Linked DNA regions of Elephas maximus indicus. The protein of the gene in region 3 interacts with the protein of the main gene of each other region in a biochemical or structural test. Links are inferred from orthologs where the notes say so. Each region holds a gene or a part of one and is shown on either strand. Other genes may lie near its edges.

What was found. The genes of interacting proteins can lie anywhere in the genome.
Region 1: the proteins of LRRK1 (region 3) and FGFR2 form a complex in vitro, tested with the Homo sapiens proteins (2 studies listed by BioGRID and IntAct, with this or other methods). The link is inferred for Elephas maximus indicus from reciprocal best matches to the Homo sapiens genes LRRK1 and FGFR2.
Region 2: the proteins of LRRK1 (region 3) and FLT4 form a complex in vitro, tested with the Homo sapiens proteins (2 studies listed by BioGRID and IntAct, with this or other methods). The link is inferred for Elephas maximus indicus from reciprocal best matches to the Homo sapiens genes LRRK1 and FLT4.

The regions. Positions count from the first base shown.
Region 1 is NC_064834.1:71,983,067-71,991,031, reverse strand, and holds the start of FGFR2 (fibroblast growth factor receptor 2), read left to right. Parts: upstream 1-4,926; 5' UTR 4,927-5,519; intron 5,520-7,965. UniProt on the Homo sapiens protein: Tyrosine-protein kinase that acts as a cell-surface receptor for fibroblast growth factors and plays an essential role in the regulation of cell proliferation, differentiation, migration and apoptosis, and in the regulation of embryonic development.
Region 2 is NC_064820.1:203,122,998-203,130,474, reverse strand, and holds the start of FLT4 (vascular endothelial growth factor receptor 3), read left to right. Parts: upstream 1-4,438; 5' UTR 4,439-4,494; coding exon 4,495-4,552; intron 4,553-7,477. UniProt on the Homo sapiens protein: Tyrosine-protein kinase that acts as a cell-surface receptor for VEGFC and VEGFD, and plays an essential role in adult lymphangiogenesis and in the development of the vascular network and the cardiovascular system during embryonic development.
Region 3 is NC_064831.1:92,683,957-92,691,721, forward strand, and holds the start of LRRK1 (leucine-rich repeat serine/threonine-protein kinase 1), read left to right. Parts: upstream 1-4,755; 5' UTR 4,756-4,845; intron 4,846-5,192; exon of another isoform or gene 5,193-5,482; intron 5,483-7,765.

The DNA of each region.
Region 1 (7,965 bases), on a different chromosome or scaffold from region 3:
GGAGCACTTGAGGAAACAGAAATGGGCTGGGTAAATTTTGGGAGGGATATTAATATTTTGGGAGTCAATGAATTCTACTCAGTTCCATACTAAGCTGAATAATTTAGAAAGTGTGGAATCCCTTGGCATGGGTGAGAGGGGTCAGCTTGCCCTGGTGGCCACTGGGATAAACCCCAGCTGGTCAGGAGAGCGGAATTTTGGGTCTCCCTGCCATTAACCAGCGGGGCGTCCTTGGGCCTGTCACATCCCCTCTGTGTGCCCGAAAATGTGGGGATCAAACTCCATGGGGTCTTTAGGCTTTAATAGTCGCTTCCTCACCTTTGGGCCCAATTGTCTTAGGAAGGCCTACCTGTGACAGTCAGAACACCTGGAAATCCATTAAACCTCATCACAGGGCATAATGGCATTTTTTATTCAGATGCTCCCCATGGATTTGCAGAAACTCTTTGACACTAATTGTGCTCACGAGTGTGAAACATGCAAAGCTACACAGTATCCCCCCCTCTGCCTCCATCGCCACCCAGGGACTGCCGCTGGGAAGGGCAACAGAGGGAACCGAGGAGCACTGCAATGCTTTCCATTTCAACAGCCATTTGTAGGACTCAGATGGCCTGCCCAGGACATGTTTCATCATTTCATCACAGTTGAGTCTTGGGTAGGCACCGCCAGGCCTTTTGATGGGGGAGCTGTGGAATTTAGCAGCCAAAATGACTCAAGGCTATGTTAAACCCAAGCCCGTATTAATACTCAGGTATTGTGGTGCTAAGGAGCCCTGGTGGCATGGTGGTTAAAGCGCTTGGCTGCTAACTGAAAAGTCAGAGGTTCGCACCCAACAGTTACTCCGCGGGAGTAAAATGCGGCAGTCTGCTTCTGTAAAGGTTACAGCCTTGGAAACCCTACGTGGCAGCTCTACTCTGTCCTGTAGGGTTGCCATGAGTCGGAATCAACTTGACGGCAATTTTTTTTTTTCTAGATTGTGGCTCTACAGGTTAAGCTATTTCCTTTAACCCTCCCAATAGTCCTAGGAGGGTTCTCCACGAGTCAGAACTGACTGGCAGGCACACGGTGACAACAATAACAATAATCATAAGTAACGCTTACATAGCTAGCAATTCCCATGTGCCAGGCACTGTTCTGCTTGTCACCTCCTAAGGCATTTAATCCTTTTAGTAATCCTATGTCATTTACCAGGATCCCTGGTGGCGCAGTGGTTAGGCACTCGGCTGCTAACTGAAAGGTCCGCCATTCGAACCCATCAACCACTCTGTGGAGGAAAGATGTGGCAGTCTGTTTAAACAAAGGTTTACAGCCTTAGAAACACTATGGGGCAGTTCTACTCTGCCCTGCAGGGTCACTATGACCTCAAATTGACGGAACAGCAATGGGTTTTTAATGCAATTTATCAGTATCAGTTGCTGGGGAGTCAGTTCCAATGTGTGGCTACCCCTTGTGTGTCAGAGTAGAACTGTGCTCCGTAGGGTTTTCAATAGCTGTGACCTTTCAGAAGAAGAGTGCCAGGCCTTTCTTCTGAAGTGCCTCTGGGCAGACTTGAACCTTCGGCCTTTCCGTTAGCAGCAGAGCAATCACATTGACCGTGTGCACCACCCAGGTTGATCCCCCTGTGAGATAGCTGCCATTCTTTTGATCAATTTACAGACAAGAAAACAGAAGACTCAGAGATCGTAACTTGCCCAAAGTCACACAGCTATTGAGTGACCAGATCCACAACTTGACTGTGGAATCAAAGCCTTGTATCCCCTCAATTTAGGGTAGCAATGCTCCCTCACCTGAAGGTGAGGAGATACTTCCAGAAGGACTTTCTCTCCAGGTAAGTCTCAGCTTTGAAATTCAGGCCCAATTCTAAGTTCAGAATCATTGGTGAGGTTCAGTGGTGGATCCATGATTTTGCTTCCGTTAAATGCCACAGGCTCCCTGAAAATGGGTGCTTGCTGTCTGGGGATTCGGCCTCTCCCCTCACCTCCAGGAGTAAGTACTCTTAGCATGGTCCTTAGACTATTCAGTACTCATTCCTACTGCTTTGTCTACGCTATGCACATTATTGACCTTTTCCTGACCTAACTTTTCTGTAGGGCGAAGGAACAGCCACCCATCCAAAAAACATATTATGAAAAGAAAAATCCCAAATCTTTGAAGAAGAAAGGCCTGTGGCAGTGAAGGTCTCCACCCCTTCCTCTTTTCTCTTCCCATAACCAACGGGCTTGAAGCACAATTTGTTTCTAGAAACTTCTGGGGCATCGGAGTTCTAGTGTCCTCATTTTTCTTCCTTCCCATTGATGTATCATTACTAGAGTAAAAAAAAGAAGGGCGTCTCGAGGGCTTTTTGGGGGGGAAAAAAAAAGAGTGCCTACTGAAGACATTTTGTAAAGGGGGGAAAATTGGGAAGAAAAGAAGCCTCAGTAGGGGGTGGAGGGCAGTGAATGTGGCCTTGTCTGATGGTTCTTTCAGCTGAAACCTGGTGCTGGCGCTCCTTGTTCAGTTCAAACTGTCACCTTTAGTTCTTGATGGCTTTTCTGCCCTCGTCCCTGAACCTCAACAGATTGGGGCTTATTTACCTATTCACACTCCGCCGTGGTAGCTCATTAATAGGCTTATTAGCAACACCATTCATGGGAGGCCATTGACAAAAGGGGCTCCAGCCACTCAAGAGGGAAGAGAAAAAACTGTAAAGAGATTATTTTCTCATTCAGAAGCCTCGCTGGTGTGAAAGCTTTCCTAGACCCTCTGAGGTCACTTGAAGTCTAAATTTGATGACAGAATTGATTAAAAAAAAAAAATAGTAATAAAACATTCCAAACATGCTTCTACTTTTCTCAAAACTGAAGCGTTTGCTGCAGTGGGCTTGTGGCTTCACTCACTTAAAAAGGAGCACTCTTGAGGGAATAAGGGGCTTTTGATGGATGGGTGTCTTTTCATCCCTATGAAGAATAAATTCTGGAAACTGCGTCTGGATGTTAAAGAAGGTGTTCTTATTTGTTATTTTCAGCGGAAGGCTTCCTTCCCATTCAGAGAACATAAAGCTATTGATGAATGAGAGATACGGACTTGGGTTTCCTGCACCATTAATTTATGTGAGAATGTGTGAACAGCATTTTCGGTGGCTGATGGATACCGTACAGGATGAGACAGGAATCTGCCCTGAGACACTCGGGTTTCCCGTTGGTGGGGAACATAAAGATGTAAGTGACGACCTCCCAGCAGACTGACATTCAGAGGTGACCCTAGGTCTGAGAGCTTGAAAACATTTTGGTATGGACAGAACAACCTAGATGGGAATGAGTGGCTGAGGGACACCTGGCTGAGGCGTCATTGAATTCAAAGATTCAGGGACTGATCCAGGTTAGAGGACTTGATTAAAAGCATATCCGTCTGGGGCAGTTCTACTCTGTCCTATAGGGTCGCTATGAGTCGGAATCGACTCGACAGCAGCGGGTTTTTTGTTTCCTCCCTCTCAGCAATGGGCTGATAATTCCGTCTGAGACTCAGACTCTAGTTTTTGCTGCCAAATTTCCAAAGTATAATTTCAGAGCTGTTTGCCTCAATCAGTGGTTAAGAGCTCTGCCTGCTAACCAAAAAGTCGGCAGTTCGAATCTACCAGTCACTCCTTGGATACCCTACAGGGCAGTTCTACTCTACAGGGTTGCTATGAGTTGGAATCGCCTCACATGGCCATGGGTTTAGTTTTTGGTTTTGCCTGAATCATTTAATGGATTTGCACTCTTTCCTGGCTTTTAAGTAATTTGTATGAAAGGTTTCTACGATGTATTGCAAATAAAAAAAGATTTCCTAATAAGGTGGCACCTTGGAAAAATATTTTCATAAATGTTGCAAAGAATACAGTGTTCAGGAACTACGTGCAACTCTGTTTCTAAATGCAGGCAAAGTCGGTTTTCCGGGTCAGCGTGGCACTCACTGCTCCGTTTGTCTGTCTTTAGGCCTCAGAAGCCTTCTTAAGTCACTTCTTGGTTTAACGACCTTTCCTAAAGAAAGATAATTAAGGTTTTTTTATCTGTATTGCCTTGAACTTAGGCAGACTGCCTAGGAGCTGGCTAAGTGAGGAGGGAGAGAAAGTACAGTAAAAAAGAAATGAGCCTGTGGACACAGCTTAGTGAAAAAGGTAGAGTGGAAATAGGAACTTGAAAGCGTATCAGATACAACTCCCTGGTTTTGCAGTCAGAGAATCTAAGATCCACAGAAAAGAACTGATTTTCTGAAGGTCCAAAAGCTATTTGTGGCAGAGTTGACTTTTTAGAATTTTAAAAATGTTTTAGTAACCCAAATATACATTACAAAACAATTTGTTGTTGTCGCAGTTTTTCACTTTTTTAAAAAGGGCCACGTTCAAAGTCAGCTCTGCCTGGAACCAGCTGTGTGACCCTGGGCAAATTACTTAACCTCTCTGATGTTCAGTTTCCTTTCCAGAAATTGGGAATATTGCTCTGCAGAGGGGTTGTGCCGATTAAACAGAATAACTTATTCAGAACTCCTGGCACATGGTGGGGCCTCCATAAAATATTAGGTTTTCCCCCTCACTTCTATGGTATTGAAGGCCAGGGGAAAAAAAAAAAGCAACCCCCTACAAAATTTCCAAGTTGTCTCACCTTCTTCAAAAGTTTCATTTGCATTAAATTTCTCCTCCCAATAGCACGCCTACGCATTTCAAAGTTCCTTTAAGGGTAGAGCAGGTAATCTGTGATTTGTTTTCTGACTTGAAACAAAACAACGTCACCCAGGCACCTAGTAAAACGTTGGTCAGTTGACCTCCCAAGGGAAGGGAAGGAGGCGGTGGCGCAGGTTGGGGGAGACCGGCCTTGTTACTGGAGGATAGAGTTGCATCTCCCCGTCCAGATCGCGCCCGGGCCCCTTGCCTGCCCGGCCGGGGTCTCCCGGCCGCTCCAAGGCGTCGGGGGCCGCTCAGGGCTCGGCGCGGCCCCAGTGCGCCGCGCTGATTGGCAGAGCTGGCGCCGCCGTCCAGGAAACGGCTCGGGTTTCAGCGGGGGCGTGACCCGCCGGAGGAGGCGGTGGCGCGGGCGGCGGCGGCGGCGGTGGAGAGCGCAGAGCGCCGCGGAGAGCTGAGCGGCGGCGGGTGCGGAGCGCGGAGCGGGCGGCGGCCGCACAAAGCTCGGGGCCGCGGGGCTGCATGCGGCGGACCCGGCCTGGCGCCGCAACTCCTCTCCAGGCCGGCGGGGCCCGGAGGCCGCAGCTCCCGTGCGCGCTCTCCCCTCTCGCAAGTGGCGAGCAAAGTTTGGTGGCGGAGACGCCGAGCCGGAGTCCTTTCTTCCTCTCGCTCCCCAAACCCGAGCGCAGCCGCGGGCGTCATGCCCGCGCTACTCCGCAGCCCCGGGTGCGCGTGAAGCCCAAGCCCCTGCACTGCCAAGGATCCAAGGACGACACTCGGCTGGAGTTTCCACCGAGGGACCCCCGAGCTCGGCGCTCCCTCCATCCCGACCCACGCCGGCCGCGGGGACAGGACCGATCGCGGAGCCGCGTTGCCATTCAAGGTAATCGCTGAGCGGGACAGAGCGGGACGCCTCGCCAGCGGGACAGGGGCGTCGTGGGGGCCCGGGACGCCGGGCCACTGACCTCTGGGGGAAGGCGCGGGAGAATGCCACTGGGAAGAGGGCCCCTGGCCTCCCTCTTGCTGCTTAGGTGATGGGGAAGGTGGGTGCGTGCTCGCGGCTGGCGTTTGGGAAGTCCTGCCTCCACCACCCCCGTCCAGATGCTCACATCTGCTTCTTGGGTTGACACCCCTTCTCCGTCAAATTCCGCTGGCTCAGCCCACCGTTCCTCCGACCCCTGAGCGGGTGGGCGGCGGGGCTGGTTGCTGGTGGCACAGCCCCGCAGGCGGGGCGCCCTGCGGGGCACCTTTGGGGTGCTTCATCCCTGGGCCTGGGGAGCGCCCGTCCCATTCCATCTAAGCTCCGTCGGTGGACCCTTACCCGGGAGGGAGCCGCTGGGGTGGGACCGCCGACATCCCGGTTGCCATCCCCTAGTGATGGCGATGCCGGGTGGGGGGCATCTTTGGGGAGGAGCACTGTTCGGGTTCCCAGATTTCGTAGTACGCGGCCGCCGCCGGCGCTGGAGCCCGGGCAGGCGGCGAGGGCTGGAGGGAGCGCGGCGCCCGGGGCTAGGGGGCGGGCTGCACCGACTTTTCCCGGCTCGCCCGCCCTGCAGCCGCTCGCAGATGTCGAAAGCGCCGGCGAGTTCTGACTTGCGCGCTCATTCTTCCAGAGGCGGGGCTCGCTGGGGAGCCGGCCGCGGGCTCTGCGAGGCGCCGGCCCGACCACTGCGGCCCGCGGGGCCGAGCGCAGGCTGCGCTCTGCGGAACGGAGCCGGCCCGGGCGGACAAGCCACCGCGCGCCGCGCAGACTGCCCGCTCGCAAACTCCTCCAGCCCATCCTTCTTGCCCGATTCAATGAACCTACTCTTCCCGGCGAACCTGCTTTCAAACTCGGGGCACCCATTATGTGTTTGGTGTGAAATGCTATCAACATTTAAAACCCCATTGTCCCCCTGGTCCCAAATCCCTGTAAATCTTCCACCGGTCTCGACTCATTTTCATCTGAAAAGCCTGTTTAGTTTGAATAGAAAAGCAATCAGGCGCCCCTCTCCCAGGAATGTCAATTAAAATGCAGATTTTTTCAGCTTTTTAGCGCGGAGGACTGGGAAGAAAAACGGGATATTCTAGCAAATTGATGAAAGAAATGCTACCATGAAGTGGGGTGGTGATGGTGAGGAGTACCCCCAAACTGCCCTCAAGATCTCGGTGGCTTGCAAGTGTTCACAGGGCGGGGACTGTTGTCCTGGGTCCACCCGTATTTATTTTTTGCGATTTCAGTGTGTTGAGGAATTTCCCCCCCGGACTTGACACCTTGGCTCCTGCCCTACTCAGCTCTGGGGTGTAGGGGGAGCAGTAAGGAGGCTTTGAGCCGGGAGGTGCGTGTGCCCCTTGGGGCAGCGGGGCATCCCCAACCTGGTGGAGCAGTGTCGACTTTCTAGATGTGAAATCTACCCAGGAGCCAAGCACCCAAGAGCCCAGTGTGGGTGACCAGCAGTGGACAGAAGGGCCAGTCCACTAAGCCGGGCCCTGGCATTGGCCGTCCTTCTTGGAGGGCAGGGGTTTGGGACTGTTGTGGGAAGTTTGGGAGCTGAGCGCTGGCCTGGGGACTACTCCCGTGGTTCCTTTCTCCCCAGTGGTCTCTTTGCCTGTCTTTGGGGCCGGCTCGTGCTGAGGGGAGAATCGACCGGGAGAGCGGGTGGCCGCGAAGACCCATCCGTCAGAGGGAGAGTGACAACTCCTCCCGCGTGCAGGCTGAGAAGACAGTTCCCTTTCAAGGGGAAAAATAAACACGCCGGGGCTTTCACTGGGGCTCAGGCTCCAGGAAGGATTATGGTATTGTAGGCAGGAAACTGGATTGTGGCCGCCAGCGGCATGCTGGGCCTGTGTTCCCAACTCCGAGCTCGGGACCTAATTATCCCGCGTAGGGGGCCGCTCTGTATTTTTGTCCACTCGGGTGCGGAGCTGCTCGGACCTGCCGCCCCAGGCCGCCACTTTGTCGGGATTTGGGGAGGGGCTCCTGTGGGGCCTGGACCTGGAACTGCGGAAGTGCAGGGTTCTGGTGGAAACATGGGCTGAGTGAATGGCTTTAGGTTTGGTGGAGGGCACTGCCAACCTTTCCCTGCCCAGAGCTAAGGAGACTTCTCGGAGGGAGGGGCAGATGGGCAAGGCGGCTGGGGGAGCAACCGGAGCGCGGGCTCCTGTTAGGAGTCAAGAGTGTGGACAAACTTGTGTGAGAGGCAGAACATTCCCATGCGTTCTGGACTTGCTTAGTAAATCATTGAGTGTTTGTGTGCCTGCCTCCCACGTGCATGTAGGAATAGATGCAGAGTTATCTTTGGAGGCCTTAACTTTAAGAGGAAAAATGCTAGGGGAAAAAAACGTCAAGT
Region 2 (7,477 bases), on a different chromosome or scaffold from region 3:
TAACGTCTCACATTTCTTTGAGGCTGTGTTCATTCTTCTTCATTCTTTTTTCTCTCTGTTCTTCAGATTGCATATCTATGGATCTAACCACAGGTTTGCTAATTCTTTCTCTTTCCCCTCTGTTGTTAACAGTAATTTCTGTTACTGTACTTCTCAGCTCCAGAATTTCCATTTGGTTCCTTTTTATAATATCCATCTTTTTGATATCCTCTATTTGATGAGACGTTGTCATCGTATCTTCCTTTATTTCTTTAAGTATGGTTTCCTTGAGTTCTTCGAACATACTTTTAATGACTACTTTGAAGTCTCAGTCTGTTAAATCTGACATCTAGTCACTCTCATGTGCAGTTTCTATTGTCTGATTTTTTTTTCCTGGTAATGGTTCAGACTTTCATGTTTCTTTGCATGTTTCATATTTTTTTGTTAGAACCTGGACATTTTAGATAATATATTGTAGCAATTCTGGGTACTGGTCTCCACTTGCCTCCATGGCTTGTTATTGTTATTTACTCATTTATTTATTTAGTGACTAGATAATTTTACTGAAGTCTATTGCCCTTTTCTGATGCTGCTTGTTGGAGGGCACAGCCTTGGCCATGAGCGCAGTCACTCTGGATGACAATGGTTTTGGCAGCATCTTCTCTGACTATCTCTCTCCCTGACAACACCCAGCTGTTAAATTCTACTAATTTCTGACTGGTTGCTCTATTATTTTCAACAATGTCCTGGGGCATAAAGAGCTCCACAGACTGATCCAATTAAATTTGGGTTCCTTAACAGGGTTAGTTTTTGAGGTGACTGTTTAAGTTTTGCTTTGACCCCAAGAGGGCTCTTCTTAGCTGTCTCTCTCTCTCTCTCTGGTAAACTTGCCAGCCTATGGTTTTGCTTATATCTCTAGCATGTCTACCAGTTTCGTCATTAACTGTTTTTTTACCATACCTCCATTGTTTTTGAAAGTGCCAAAATGCTAAACTTCCCCAATTTCTGTTGCATATGAACTCATTTCCTTTTGGCAGATCTTTGGAGCTCTCTGTTTTATGGCCTGCCTCTCTCACTGGGTAAAAATTTCTGAGCCGCAAAGCTGGAGCTGGGGGTGGGGACAGTGACGGTTTCTCTCCAAGTGGACCATCTGCCATAGGAGCAAAGTGCTCAGCCAAAAGAGGGGTTAGCTGTAGCCTCTGATCTTCTTTGCTTGTTTCTCGCAGAATGGAATCTCCACTTTACAAATGAGCCAGAATGAGAGCCCCTATTACTGTCAGCACACTGCGCCCCAGGTAGAGCCTCTGTCCCATGAGTGGGATCTGGATAAAAGAAGAGAGCTCCACCTCTCAGCTACACTTGCTTGGAACTTAGCCTCTGCAAGAGGTAGATAGGGGAGAAAGACTAATGTCCTGCCCCACTGGAAAGATACTGTAGCCCTGTGATTGGGAGCTGAGGTGAGGGCACCCTGCGTTCCTGGCTCCACCTATCTGGAATGGAGTTTCCATCACTCTGAGCTGAGAGGAGGAAGGGGGGAGCAGGTTGTGGTTCAAATGCCATAGACTCACTGCTCTCATTGAATTTAGGTAGATTTTCTTGAAAAAAATGTTTCTTCATTTCCTGTATTTCCTTAGGATCATTTCCAGAAGACATTAAATGTTGTTGTTGCTGTTGTTGTTTTAATAGTTTTCAACAGTTTCACTGGAAAACAGGTGTATGGAGCTCCTCACACCACCACGGAGAAGTGGAAACTATGCTACCATTTTTAATGTTGTTGTTGTGGTTAGCTGCCATTGATTTGGCCCCTGAATCATGGTAACCCCATATACAACCACACTAAACACAGCCCACTCCTGCACCATCCCCATGATTAGTTGTGGATCAGACTGTTGTGATCCACAGGGTTTTCACTGGCTGATTGTTGGAAGTAGTCTGTCAAGCCTTTCTTCCTAGTCTGTCTTAGTCTGGAAGCTCCATTAAAACCTGTTCAGTATCATAACACACAAACCTCCAAAGACAGATGGATGTGGCTGTGCCTGAGGTACATCAGCCAGGAATCAAACTGGGTCTCCTGAATGAAAGGTTCTACCACTGAACCACCAATAATCTCTACCATTTTTAATATGTTCCTATCATTTTTAGGTGTTACTGATGAAGTTTTTTAAAGTTGTGCCTGGTCCCTTTTTTTCCATATACTCTGTGGTTTTTATTGCATAATATTTTTATTATTTTTAGAAACCCGTATTGCACTACAGCAGAACAAACTAAACGCTGAAAGTAAGAAAATGTTAAAGATGGACTACATAAACAAAAATCAACAAAAAGCTGGTGTGGCTATAGTAATGTCAGACAACTAGACTTTAAGTTAAAATATATTACAAGAGATAAAAGTTGCAAGTATTCCATACAGATGAAAGGGTCATTTCAATAGGAATATATAACAATCCTAAATTTGTGTGCTCCTAAAAATATACATTCAAAATACATAAATGTATAAATCAATAGGAGGAGCTGCATAATCCCATTTTAAAGGGCATGGACCCAGAGGGAAGTAAAGGTGGGTGGCTATCTTTGCAATCTACCACATTAACAGAAGACAAAAAACAATTAATCAAACAAAACTCTATTTGATTAGTCCATAAAAATACATAAATACATAATAATATACTTTCAAAATACATAAAACAAAAATTAACAAAACTAAAAAAAGTTGATATATCCAAATTATAGTTAGAGTTTTAACATATTTCTTTCAGCAACTGACAGAACAAGAATACAAGAGAATTGAACAACATAATTAACCTACCTGACTTAAATGCCATATGAACAATGCTACACCAAACAGCCTTTTCAAGTACATTATTTCCAAGTATAAAGGTATGTTTACAAAGATGGAAAACATGCTGAGCCTAAAAGCAAGTCTGAACAAATTCCAAGGAAGTGGACTAAGAATACCTTCTCTGATCACAAAGTAAACTAGAAATCAACAATAACTCAAAATCTCCAAATATCTGTAAATTAAGAAATGTACTTCTAAATATGTTTTAAAACATACTTTTAAATAGGTCGAAAATGAAAATTGTATAAACCGAATCATAATGAAAACACGGCAAATTATTACAAAACATTATAGGTATAAATGAAAGAAAAACTAAATAAATTGTTGGATATAACAAATTCATGAATGGAAGATTCAAATTTTTTTAAGATTTCAGTTCCTCCAAAAGTAATTCAACCATTCAATGTAATTCCAATCAAACTTCTAGCAGAATTTTATTAATGAAAATTGACAAACTACTTATAAAATTAATATGCAAATGCAGAGTCAATAATAAGTAATTCTCTCTGGAAACGGAAGCACGATGTTCCCCCAAAAAAGGGAGTGAGAAGTAAGCCACGGAATGGGAGAAGGGATTTGTAGCACATTGTGGCCAAGTGTATTTTGGAATCCTGGCCTCAACAATATCTCTTAACCCACATGCTCTTCTGCAATGTGACCTTGCCTCTCCCTATCTAGAGTTGGGGAGCACGTCCCTTGGGCAGGCTTGTGACTACTTCATTGATCAATAAAGTATGCCAGAAGTGATGCTATATGACTTTCAAGGTTGGGTTACTAATATACCCAATTCTTCCTCTGCAGAGAGATGGTCCTGGTTTTCGGCAAGGAGGTGTGGACTTTTGGGGGGGCGGGGAATGGAAAAGTGGGAGTGAAGTAGAATTTAAAGCAGGGAAGGAAAGTTGAGATAGTCATTGTCATGGGATTTATTTTAAATTAGATTCTAGAGACAGAACCGAAAAGAGAAAGGAAGTCTGTGCGAGGGTTTCCAAGTCAGAGAGTTCAGTGTCACCTGATTAAAGGACTTACGGATGAGCTCAGAGAAAAAAATTCGGGGGAGACCTAAAGGGGTGCCCAGACCTGCAGGTTGGGGGTTAGTTACACCGGGTGCCTGACTCAATGGCACTGCCTCCACCTGCACCAAAGATGTAGTAAGGTAAAGTCTGCTAAACGGTTTCAAAGCTTTGACATTACTGCTGCTTTCAAGTCATATGTATTGCTTTTTTGCTTACTCTAGGGTAGTATCTTGACGGCAGTGGGTGGGAGGCATAGTATTTATTGCTTGAAAGAAATTACGTAATTACAAGTTTGTGAAATTGTAATGCGCTGCCACATTTTGTCCATCCTTTAACTGCCAGGCCTCATTCCCCTTTACGGCGCATAAAGAACAGTGGCCTTACCTGCACTCCCTGGCCGCAGCAGCCTCGGGGGGCTGAAGGGCGGCGGTGCTATGGGAAGTTGCGGAGCCCGCACGTCTCACTTCGACTGGATGTTCAGGCGGCTGAGACGCACCGAGAGGTGCGAGGGGCGGTCTGCGGCCCCCGGCCCCGCCCCGCTCGGCCCCACCCCGGCGCCGCGGTCCCGCCGGCCGCCCCGCCCACCCCCGCGCCCGGCCCACGCCTACACTCGGAGCCCTGAGCCGCGGCCGGCTGGTCGGACCCGCGCCGCAGCGGCCGGAGATGCAGCGAGGCACCGCTCTGTGCCTGCGCCTGTGGCTCTGCCTCGGACTCCTCCCAGGTGAGCACGAGGAGCCCGCTGCCAGCCTTCCAGAGTGCGGGGCGGTGGTAGGGGCAGGGGTACCTCCCGCCGGGGGCGAGTAGTGGGACCGCACCGACGGACTCAGAGGGGACAGGACTGCCCAGGAGGAAGCCCTAGAGAGCCTTGTGGAGGACGGGAGGGCGACAGGGTTGGCTGGGAGCCTGGAACACCGAGGGAGGCAGGGGCGGGAACCTGGGGTACCGACAGCGGACGGAGCGCCGGGGTCGGGGCGCTGGGACAGCCAGGATGAGGAAAGGGCGGGCGGGGACTGCAGCCGGGTCAGGGACCGGCAGCCGTGCTGCGCCGCTGCGCAGCGATCGCCCTTGGGCTCCCCCGCTTCCCCTGTCCGTGGCTCCCTCGGAGCCGTGTCCCGTCGCGTTGCATCCTCACCCTGGATCCCTCGTTCCCTTACTCGGTTCCCCGTGGAGTCCCGGCGCCGCACTGCTTGGCCCTGGCGACCCACGGGCACGGAGATGGCTCCCTGGGTGCCGCGGCGCCAATCCTGGCCGAGGCCCAGACCTGGGTGCGCACTTCCCGACGCCTCCCGTCTGTGCTCGAGATCAGTCCTGGGAGGCCCCCAAGAGGGCGCTCCGGACGGGCGTCCACCTTCCCCCCCGGCTAGGGAGGCTAGGGACTGCGGAGGCAGGGACTTTGGTAGCGTCGGGCGCCTGAGGCAGAGGCCGCCAGGCGAAGAGGGCGCAGGTGAGAGTTGGGATTTGAGGTAGGGTCACCGCCCAGAAAAGGCAGGCAGCCAGGCCTTCCTGGATTTGAGAGGGCAGGAGCCTTGAAGGCCGAGCCAATGAGCCTGGCTATTAAGGCACAGGCCTCCACAGAAGGGTCTTTAAGCACAGGAGAGGCAGAGGCGGTGTTGTTGGGTACATGACTCTGGCAGGGTGAGACCCAAACCAGAAGCTGCAGCTGTGGGATTGGAGAAAAGGGAGGTGGGGCGTGAGAGAGGGAGCAGAAGGGATATGGTTAGAGAAGAATTTAGAGGACAAGGGAGGATGAGCTGGAGTGCACACAGGAACTGGCAGTCTCTGAAAATCAAGGAATGCAGGAGGGGTCCCAGGCCCTGGTAGATGGGTAGGAGTACATGCGAGATACCAGAACCTCCTTATGTTGAACACTGTAGACATTAAATACCTGCTTTACATCTTTCATCACTTTTAATCCTTACAGGGAGTGTTAGACCTATTTTACAGATGGAGAAGGTCAGATCAAGGACATTATGAAACTCCCCCAAGGTCCCCAGGAAGCCAGTAGTAGGGAAGAACTGGTCTGTGGGAAAAGAGATCCCCTGCTGTCTGCTCACACACCTGTGCCTTCAGCAGCTGAGTGGCTGAGGACAGGGAGAGGAGGGAGGTGGGGAGAAGCCTAAGGGGGAGGCCATCTGTAGCCTCTGAGTCTGGGCAGGTCTGGGCATAGAGGCTACCCTGGGCCCTTCCCTCTTTCCCCTGCACCCTGCCCAGGACCAGGCTCTCACAGGTGCTCAGTATGTTTGTAGAGTGACTAAATGGAGGAGCAGGGGTGAATGGAGCCCTGGTTGGACTGCAGGGGTCAGGGTGTGAGACCCTATGTTGAGCAGATGTCTGAGAGGCAGCTGGGTGTAACATCTGAGGCTCAGGAAAGAGGCTGAGTTGGGGAGCCAGAGAGGAAGCAGAGCAAAGGGTCCAGGATCGGACCCTAGGGCAGGGGGCCAGAGGCAGTGGGGGCTTGCAGGGAGACAGGGATGAAACATTCATCCTAAGGAGAAGCAGGAAAGGCCAGAGTCGTGGTGCCACGGGGCAGAGCAGTCACAGAGCTAGAATTGCGGCCGTGGCAGATGCCTGAGGGAGTCAGACGGGGTGAGGATGGGACCAAGTGTCCTCTGGATTCAAATCAAGAATGTTGTACAATGGGCGGCACCAGCGTGGGTAGTTGAGGAGTGAGGGAGGTGAAGCGGGGCACCATACTGAGTGTGGCTGTGAAGCGAGGGGAGAGTGTCAGCTGGAGGGGCTCATGGAGGAAGGGTGGCCCAGCCTGGACCAGGGTGGGGCTGGTGGGGAGATGTCAATGGAGACCATCGCCAATGCCTTCCCTGAGCCCGCACCTTGCCCCACCAGATGTTAGGTGGAGGAGGACTGGAGCTCCTGGCCTAATGGGGGATGCTAAAGCTGAAGCATAAACCAGTTAAGTGTAGTCAAGCATCTAGGCAGCTAAGTGGGAGACGAGCAGCCAGCAGGTGAGAAACTGGGAACCCTGAAGCTGCCCCCTCAAAAGTGTGCTGTTGGTTCTAGAACCAGGCCTGCCCCTGAATTCCTTGCTGTGTGGTCTGGGGTCCTTCCTTGCACTCTCGCACCTCAGCTTCCCCGTGCACAGCTGCAAGTGCTAAGGGGCTATGGCTTGGGCTGTGACTTTCTGGCTAGATGTCCCCAGTCCAGTTCCATGAAGTCTTGCCCAGCAGTGTCCCTGTGGAGAGGGTTAGTGACAGTTGTCGTCCCCAAAAGGCTTAGTCTGTAGAAAGGCTGTTTGTGCCTCTGGCCAGTACAAACTGGGGAAGCAGGAGATTCCTGGGCTGGCCTAGCCAGTGAACAGCTCACCCTGCCTTGGACTGAGTCCATACATGACCATCCCAGCCCTCTGCTGCTCTGCTATTCAGCCCTGAACCAGACCCAGGTGTGTACAGGGATATGGAGATGAGTGGGGGACCCAGCCTGCTTTACGTGGCAACCAGGAAACTTCTGGCCCCAGCTCAGTGCTCTAGGGACTCAAATCCAGGTGCTGCTCATTTGCCCACCTGCCTGAAGCACAGAGTGAGTGTGGCTGCCCAGAGCACAGTGCTCACCCACATGGGCAGGCCCCAAGCAGGGTGTGTCTGACCGATGAACTCCCCAGTATGCCATCCCACCCTGACCCCAGCCAGTG
Region 3 (7,765 bases):
AATTGCGTTCCTGCCTGGGGATGGCGCTATTGGCCATTTCTGTTTTGCCCTTTAAACTGGGTACCAGCGGACAGTGAAGATGCTCAGGGCACTGTTAACAGGAAGTGGTACTTGCAGTGGCCAGCAGCTCCTGAAAAATGTGTTGCTGAATCTGACTCTAGTAAGAATTTGGAAAAACTCCCTGCATGTTCCGCCAGCAGAGCCCTGCACCTACGGTCTCCTCAGGTTCACCTGTCCACAGAACAAGCCTCTCTTTCTGGGGGAGGGCTGACGGTACCATGCAGTGGGAAAAGCATTAACACTAAGTTAAAAAAAAAAAAAAGGCTGCAAGGATCTGATGGGCGGAGATTTGGGGGTTGTGGGCATGTGTGGGTGAGGGTCTTTGAGGTCTGCATATTTAGTGACCACGGCACTCAGCTTATAAAAACAATACTGCCTTTGGAATCTGACCAAATCGTAGCCCAAAGAGCATATTCTAAAAATGTGTCATTGTCTATCTTAACCAAGGCACTTTCTTAGGCAAAAAAAAAAAAAAGTTCTATCGCCTTTGCTGCTAAGGAGCCAACGCTCTGACCCTCCAACAGCACAGCGAATCCCCCGGTAATTAAGTTCCACATTTTACAAACACACCAAAGCAATAATTCATTTTAGGAATTCTGCCTTTCTACTACACTCCTTAATGGTTTATGATAAGCCTACATACTTATCCTTTTTCCAGTTCTGTTACCCGGTTTAGATTAGGAAAACATACGGAACTGGAAAGACGACTGTCATAATATAGACCTGCTTTTTCAAAGTCCTATTTTGATGTTAATTTCTGAGTAATTAACAGATAAGACATGGGCTCCCTGGAGGACCTGGGTCTCCTACTAAATCCAAGTGGTCTGAGTACTTTATAACAGGTTGTGAAGTTTTCTTTTCCTCTTTGTGTATCCAAAGGGTGTGCAATCCCATCAACTTTGACTTGGAAAACGGAAGGTGTTTCCATAGAGCTTTAAAAAAACAAAACCAAACTTAAATTGTGTTATTCGGACACTGTTACTGTTACTAACTAGTCATTTTCTAATGGGAAAAATGGTGCTTGTGCTTGACAATTCATTGGCGTGAGCACAGTGATAAGATGAAGCTCCATGTCACAACCTGTGTGTATAAAGAAAATCACGCAGGAAATGGGGTTATCATCCTCGTGAGCAATATGCAATGTGTACTTCACCTTCTCTCCATCAGTTAACACTTACATTAACAATTCACTTGTTAGGTCAGGATTAGACTTCTTACACTGAATCGTCAGGATTTTATCTCAACTAACTATAGACACTAACCTCGATAGTAATGCCTTGGAGGTTCTTTTTCTTCCATTGTACAATAATGCCTTTAATATGAAACTCTACATTAATTACGATTGGTATAGGGTCGCTATGAGTTGCAATCGACTTGACACCAATGGGTTTTGGTATAGTTAATTATATCTTTTTATAGCTGTAAGTACACAGAGGTGGTATATTTAACCTTCTGTAATATACTGTATTTAGAAATGGAAATCTATATCCTGTTTGATTTCACTTTTTTAAAGGTTTACCACTGTGGTATGGTTTAAAAATGTATCAGCCTGGAAATTCGGCTCCTACCTACAGATTGAGCTCAACAATGCAACAATGATAAAATAAACTTAGGTATTTGAGAAACATTATGTTGTGTTTTGTTCTGTTTTCATTTGAGAACTCAATCCCTTTTAATTCTGTGGCTGACCCCTCTTTCCTGGGTCTTCTGTACAAAATGTCTTGTAACAAAGCAGGGTCAGTAACTGAGGCTACAAGTCCCCTTGCTCAATCGATCAGGCCTAGTGCTTTGCCTGAGCGTGAAACCCATTCCTATCGGTTTTGGAGTCAACCAGGCAGGGAGCCTGGCTTCACTGTCTCTCTGTCTTAATTGGCTAACTTTAGACTGGTCACCTGAGCTGCCCGAGTCTCTTTTTAGTATAAAGTGATGAGGACATTTGCCATGAGTGTGGAAAGTGGTGGGGAAGATCACAAGAGAAATTTAGTGAAAATACCATGTCCCCAGTTGTGTGTCTAAGTGTCTGTTTTTATCACTTTCTTCACAAGGATCTAGGTGCTTGTGTTTAATTTACCTAACGTTTCTAAGACTTCTAACCAAGAAGCCTCAATCACCAAGTCATGAGCTGTCACTGAAGTTGGATCAAGAACACTCCTTGTACTTGGTTAGGTCCCCTGAGCTCAGCCTGTACACATAATGTTGAAAATCTAAATCACTCTTGCCGTGTGTTGACAAAGCACAGCTCCTTTAAGAGAAAACGAATCTGATCCCTCTTAAAATACATATGCATTTAGAAATATCCCGCTTCTCAATCCAGGTGTGAGCAGAAAATTATGGTAAAATGACATTTTATTTCATTTTGGTTTACCAGTGTATTGCTCCCTGAAGAGAACCATCCTGGGGACAATAGGTGGGCCATGGTGCATGTGTGTGCACTTGTGTGCCTGTGGGATGAGTGAGGGGGAGGCACGTTCTCTAACAGTGGCCCCTTTGGTGTACCCTTGCTCCTCCTGATGGTATCTGAAGCCTTTTGAATGTCCTTGCTCTTACCCATATGGCTAACTTGAGTTTGAAGGTGACCGGGACAGTGAGGGACATTTTTTTAAAAGCATCCATGGAGAAACATCTGAGGAAACTGAGTACCACACTGAAGAAACATAGCTAGAAGACATGGAGGGAACAGCCTGCCACTGTGCCTTCAGAAGGCAGAAACCGAAGTTTCTGGAGGCAGCTTCCGGCTGACCCACCTTAGGCGGGCCATTCCATTCTGAGGTGCTGAAAATCTGGGTAGGATGCTGAGTACAAGCTAGAGGACATGGGCCAGTGGGATCCAAGAAGAAGCCAAAAGGAATCTTAACTGACCTGTAATAGCCTTCTATGGGAACCTATGACTCATGCCTAATGCATAGAGTTGAGTTGAATGCCAGGATATAACTAGCTCAAAATAGGATATCTGAGTGTCAAATGTCAGCTGCTTTTCATGTTGGGACCATTTTTTAGCCTGTCTCCAAGCTCATTTAACAGGGAAGTTGAGTGGACCCTGCAGGTGTTGGCAGGGTGGATTACCTAATAGGCAAGGTAAGCACAGTATTTATCTTTCTTACCAGACCATCTGTAGTGAACAATTTCTCATGGGTTTCACCATATCTTTGATTGTTCACTACAGATTAGTAAGTAAACACAAGTAAACTGGTGCTTACCTTGCTTACTGGGTCATCCGACCCTGTCAGGGACTGTAAATTTGAAAAGAGGTTTTGATTCTGTGGGAAGGTGCTATGGTGTTGAAAGAGGGACAGATGCCAGCCATACCTGGAAGCAGAAACTTTGATGTGGTGAAAAAATGTGAAATAATCCTCCCCTGGTTTTTTTTTTGGGGGGGGGTGTTGGTCCAGTCCGCTCCAGGGTCACCAGCTAGGATCGTGCGCTTCATCACTGCGTCGCTAGGTGGCGGGGCCTCGCCGGGGAGGCGCCTCCCCGCCTACGCCGGGCTCACTCAGCACAGCGCACGCCAAGTCCTGCAAATTATTAGGGACTTTTCGGTGGCAGTCATACTGATGACCTAGCATATGATACTAAGACCCCAGTGGTGGGGATAGAATTGCAAAACTGAAAAGGCGCCGCGTGGCCGTCAGTTCTGAAGGCAGTCTCCGGAGAGCAGAGCAAAGCTGACCAGTGGTTCCCTCGCCAACCAGGGGCCCCCACCAGCCGCTATAAGGGACCACTACGCGGGGTGTCCGTCACGTCGAGCCAGGGCCCTATGGCTGCTCCGGTTTCTGTGAAATGGCAGCGAGGGTCGTAGCCGTTTATCGTTGCGCTTTGCGCTAAATCCTGGGAATGTTCCCATCATTACATTACATGAGAGGAGCCTATGGGGCTGGCCCTTACAGGGCGTCCATTGATAGGTTTTTCTGAGCGGGCTTCTCTGCCCTCAGTGAACACGCAGAGCCTGATCTGAAGCCTGCGTTGGCGTATGAGCCTCAATGGTGTGACGGACATCCTTACGTTAGGGTGAAAGAAAGTTGTCGTTATTCCACCACGTTTTACCTACAAACAAAATAAGCCATTAAAAACGATCCATCAAATAGTTGTGTGTTTGCATACATCCGTAATTAAATCAGTTAAATTCATGTAGGAGAGGAGCAGTTTGCAAAATATTAAAGCTTACAAAATACTCATCTTTGCCCTGTAGAAGGGATGTACACAAGGGAATTTCCGTATTTTTCATATTTACTGCCAGAGAATATGGCCAACACGCAAGTTAGAGTTAATTCGCCGATTTGGGTGCAGAGCAGAGTAGAGGGACAGGGCAAGCTGGGTGAAGCCGAGAACTAATTTTCTCTTCGCCTTCCCGCGTGCACCAGCGGACTCGGAGGAGGACTCCACCCTAGAAGGCTCCCCGGAGCCTGTCACCTTCCCGGGGCAGGGAGTAAGAAATTTGGCCACCTAGGTTTAACGACTAGGGAAACTGAGGCGGGGCACCCCGGGGCGCCTCGTCCCCACACCGTGAGAGCCAGCAGCGCCCAGACCCTGGGCGCGCGGCAGCCTCTCCCTGCGCGCCTTTTGCGCCGCCGACGCCCGCCCGCCGGCCCGCCCTCCCGCCGCCCGCCCCAGCGCCCTCCGCAGGATTGAGGAAGTGCGTCTGGTCCCGGCGCGGCCGAGGCGCGGGGGCTGGAGACGGTCGGACCTCCAGGCCCAGGCCCCCTAGTCTCCTCCTGGCTGCCCCGGGCGCCCCAGCCCCGCGTCCGGAACGACCGCGTCCCTCCTTTCCGCCGGCCGCTGCCGCCGCAGGTAAGCACTGCCCGGGCCCGCGCCGCCGCCCGCCCAGGGACCTAGCCGCCTCCTGCAGCCCGGCGGGGACCCGAGAGCCGGCTCCCACTCGCCCTGGCCCGTGCTCGGGCCTCTGCCTGCTTCTGTGCCCCTGGCCCCGCAGCCCGGCCCTGCGACCCAGGCGGCATCGTGGTCGAGGAGCGGGACACGGAGGCGCGGGCGAACCCCCATCTCTCGGCCCCGCGGCCTCCAGTGCGCGCGGACCCAAGCCAGCCCTCGGGGTGGGAGTGTGCGAAGCCCTGCACCGGACAGCACCAGGGCGGACGGAGCAGCGGCAAGAAACAAAAGTAGGAAATTGCGCCAGGGTGTATCCACGTTTCCTCTGCCTTTGAAGGAAACCTTCTACAGCTTGGAGCGGGGAATTTGTGTGTGCGCGCGCGTGTGCTTGTGAGGGCGTGTGCGCAGGGAAGGGGCTGTCCCAGGACTCTCTCTTCCTAGCCGCGGCCTCAGTGATGCGGGTTGGCTCAGCGCGCCTTCACCCACCACAAAGTCGGGGGCATTCTTCTTGCCCAAGGGTTGCGTCTCTGGCCAGATACCGATTAAATCCGCTTTCTCTGTGGGCTTGGGCAACCTCCCCAAGCGTGCTGGGGTCGGCGAGGTGAGTGTGACCCGGGGGTGCAGGTGTTAGGGAGGGTGCTGGGGGTTGGAGAGAGATGATGATGGAGAAGATGAAAGATAGGTGGTCAGCCAAACCTACCCCTTAGCCTAGTGAGGCCCACACCAAGGTTTTCTCCCACAAACTTTCAAAGTGTGGCGTCTGCAGGGGTCTGAGAGGTGGAGAAATCAGGAGCGTGGAGCTACGTTCTTAGCCAGCCCCTCACCAAACGATTAGACGATTTTTAGAGTTTCCCACTCACATGGTATCAAAGTTAATGCTGTCAGTAGATGTCATGTAGTTGATTTCAACTCCTAGCAACCCATGTGACAAAGTAGAACTGCCCATAGGATTTTCTAGGCTGTAATCTTTATGAACACAGACGACCAGGTCCTTTTTTTCCTGGAGCATATGGGTGTGTTCGAACTGCTAATGTCTCGGTTAGCAGGTTAGCAGCCAAGCACTTAACTATTGTGCCACGAGGACTCTTGTTGGTATCAAAGTATGAGGATCCTAAAGAGACAACTAGAATATGCATGATTTTGGGAAATGTTAAAGTTAAAGTCTTCATTATATTATTTTCATTATCTTTGCTTATGTCCTAGAACAAAAAAAAAAATTACTGAGTTGATAACATACAAACCCCACACTTAATATGTCCCTAAAACAGGTCTTGGGATGAGCCAAACCTTTCCATCTCCTGGGGAAGGCCCCATAGCTCAGTTGCTCAGAGGGAAGCCTAGGAATTAACCCTGGGAACATCCCATTCCCTTGTCCCCGGGATTCTTCCCGTTAGCAAGTCCTGCTGGGTCTACCTCCAAAGTGTGTCCTGGGTCTATCCGCTTCTTTCTCACACACCCTCCACTCTAGTCCAAGGTGTCAGGATCTCTTGTAAGATTCTTGAGTGATTTCCGTGATAGCTACATCTGATCATGTCACTATGTGCATGGAACCCTGTAGCGCCTTCTTCTTGTGATTGGTATAAAATCCAGAGGAACTCCTTCCTCTCACCGCTCCCCCACTGTGTGCTCCGGCCACTGCCATCGATGTTATCCCCCCAACCTCTGCCGCCCCGTCCACCCTGGTGGCGCTTGTTTGCCAGCATGAGGCATGGACATTGCTGTTCCCTGACTTCACGTGGCTGACACCTCAGGAGGCCTTAGAAGGCCTTCCCCGGCCACCCTCTACACCCCTCCTCAGTCTCTCTTCCATCCCATCTCTGTGTTCTTATGCCCACCACTATCTGCGTATACCTTCTTTATCTCTTCAATTTCTTCTTTAATTAGCGGGCTCCTGAGGTCAGAGACCATGTCTGTCTTGCAAACCACCGTGTCCCCAGCTCCCAGGACTGTTCTTGGCGTAGGAGATGCCCAGTGCATACTGGGGAGTGACCAGATGGTTAATGTTGTTGTTGTTATTCGTTGCCCCAGAGACAGCTCCGATTCACGGCAACCCCATGTACAACAGAACGAAACGTGGCCCTGCCCTACACCATCTTCGTGATCGTTGGTATTGAGTCCGTGGTTGCAGCCAATGTGTATTTTGAGTCTCTTTGAACCTAGGGAGCTCACCTTCCAGCAACTTCATTGGCTAATTTTTAGAAATAGATATCCAGGCCTTTCTTCCTAGTCGGTCTTAGTCTGGAAGTACTGCTGAAATGTGTCTACGATGAGTGGCCATGCTGGTATTTGAAATACTGGTGGCATTGCTTCTAGCGTCATAACAACATGCAGGTCACCACAGACAAACTGACAGATGGGTGGTGGAAATGATGAATGACACCAGCCTTCACTAACTGGTGGTTTGGGACTCAAGAAGTGCCTCTGTTGTCAAATCCTTGGGTGCTCATTTGGGATCGAGAGCTATATGCTCCTCCAGCCTGCAGATCCATGGTTATTTTGATATTCACAAACCTGTCAGATACATTTTGCAGGCAGACCAATATTGGTAAAGGGATCCTAGAACCATAGACCAGCCTTCTTGACCAGCCTACTACTATCAATTCAAAAAGAAGCTAGACTACAGGAACATTTCGAATATACTTCATTTGCCAGTGTCTTCCCACTCTTTGGTAAAGTCCCTGAGTCGCCCAAATAGTAAGCGCTCAGCTACCAACCTAAAGGTTTGCAGTTTGAGTCCACCCAGAGGTGCCTCAGAAGAAAGGCCTGGCCATCCCCTTGTGAAAAATCAGCCATTGAGAACCCTGTGAGCACAGTTCCACTCTGACACACCTGGGGTCGCCATGAGTCAGGGTCAAATCCACAGCAACTGGGTTTTATTTCACTG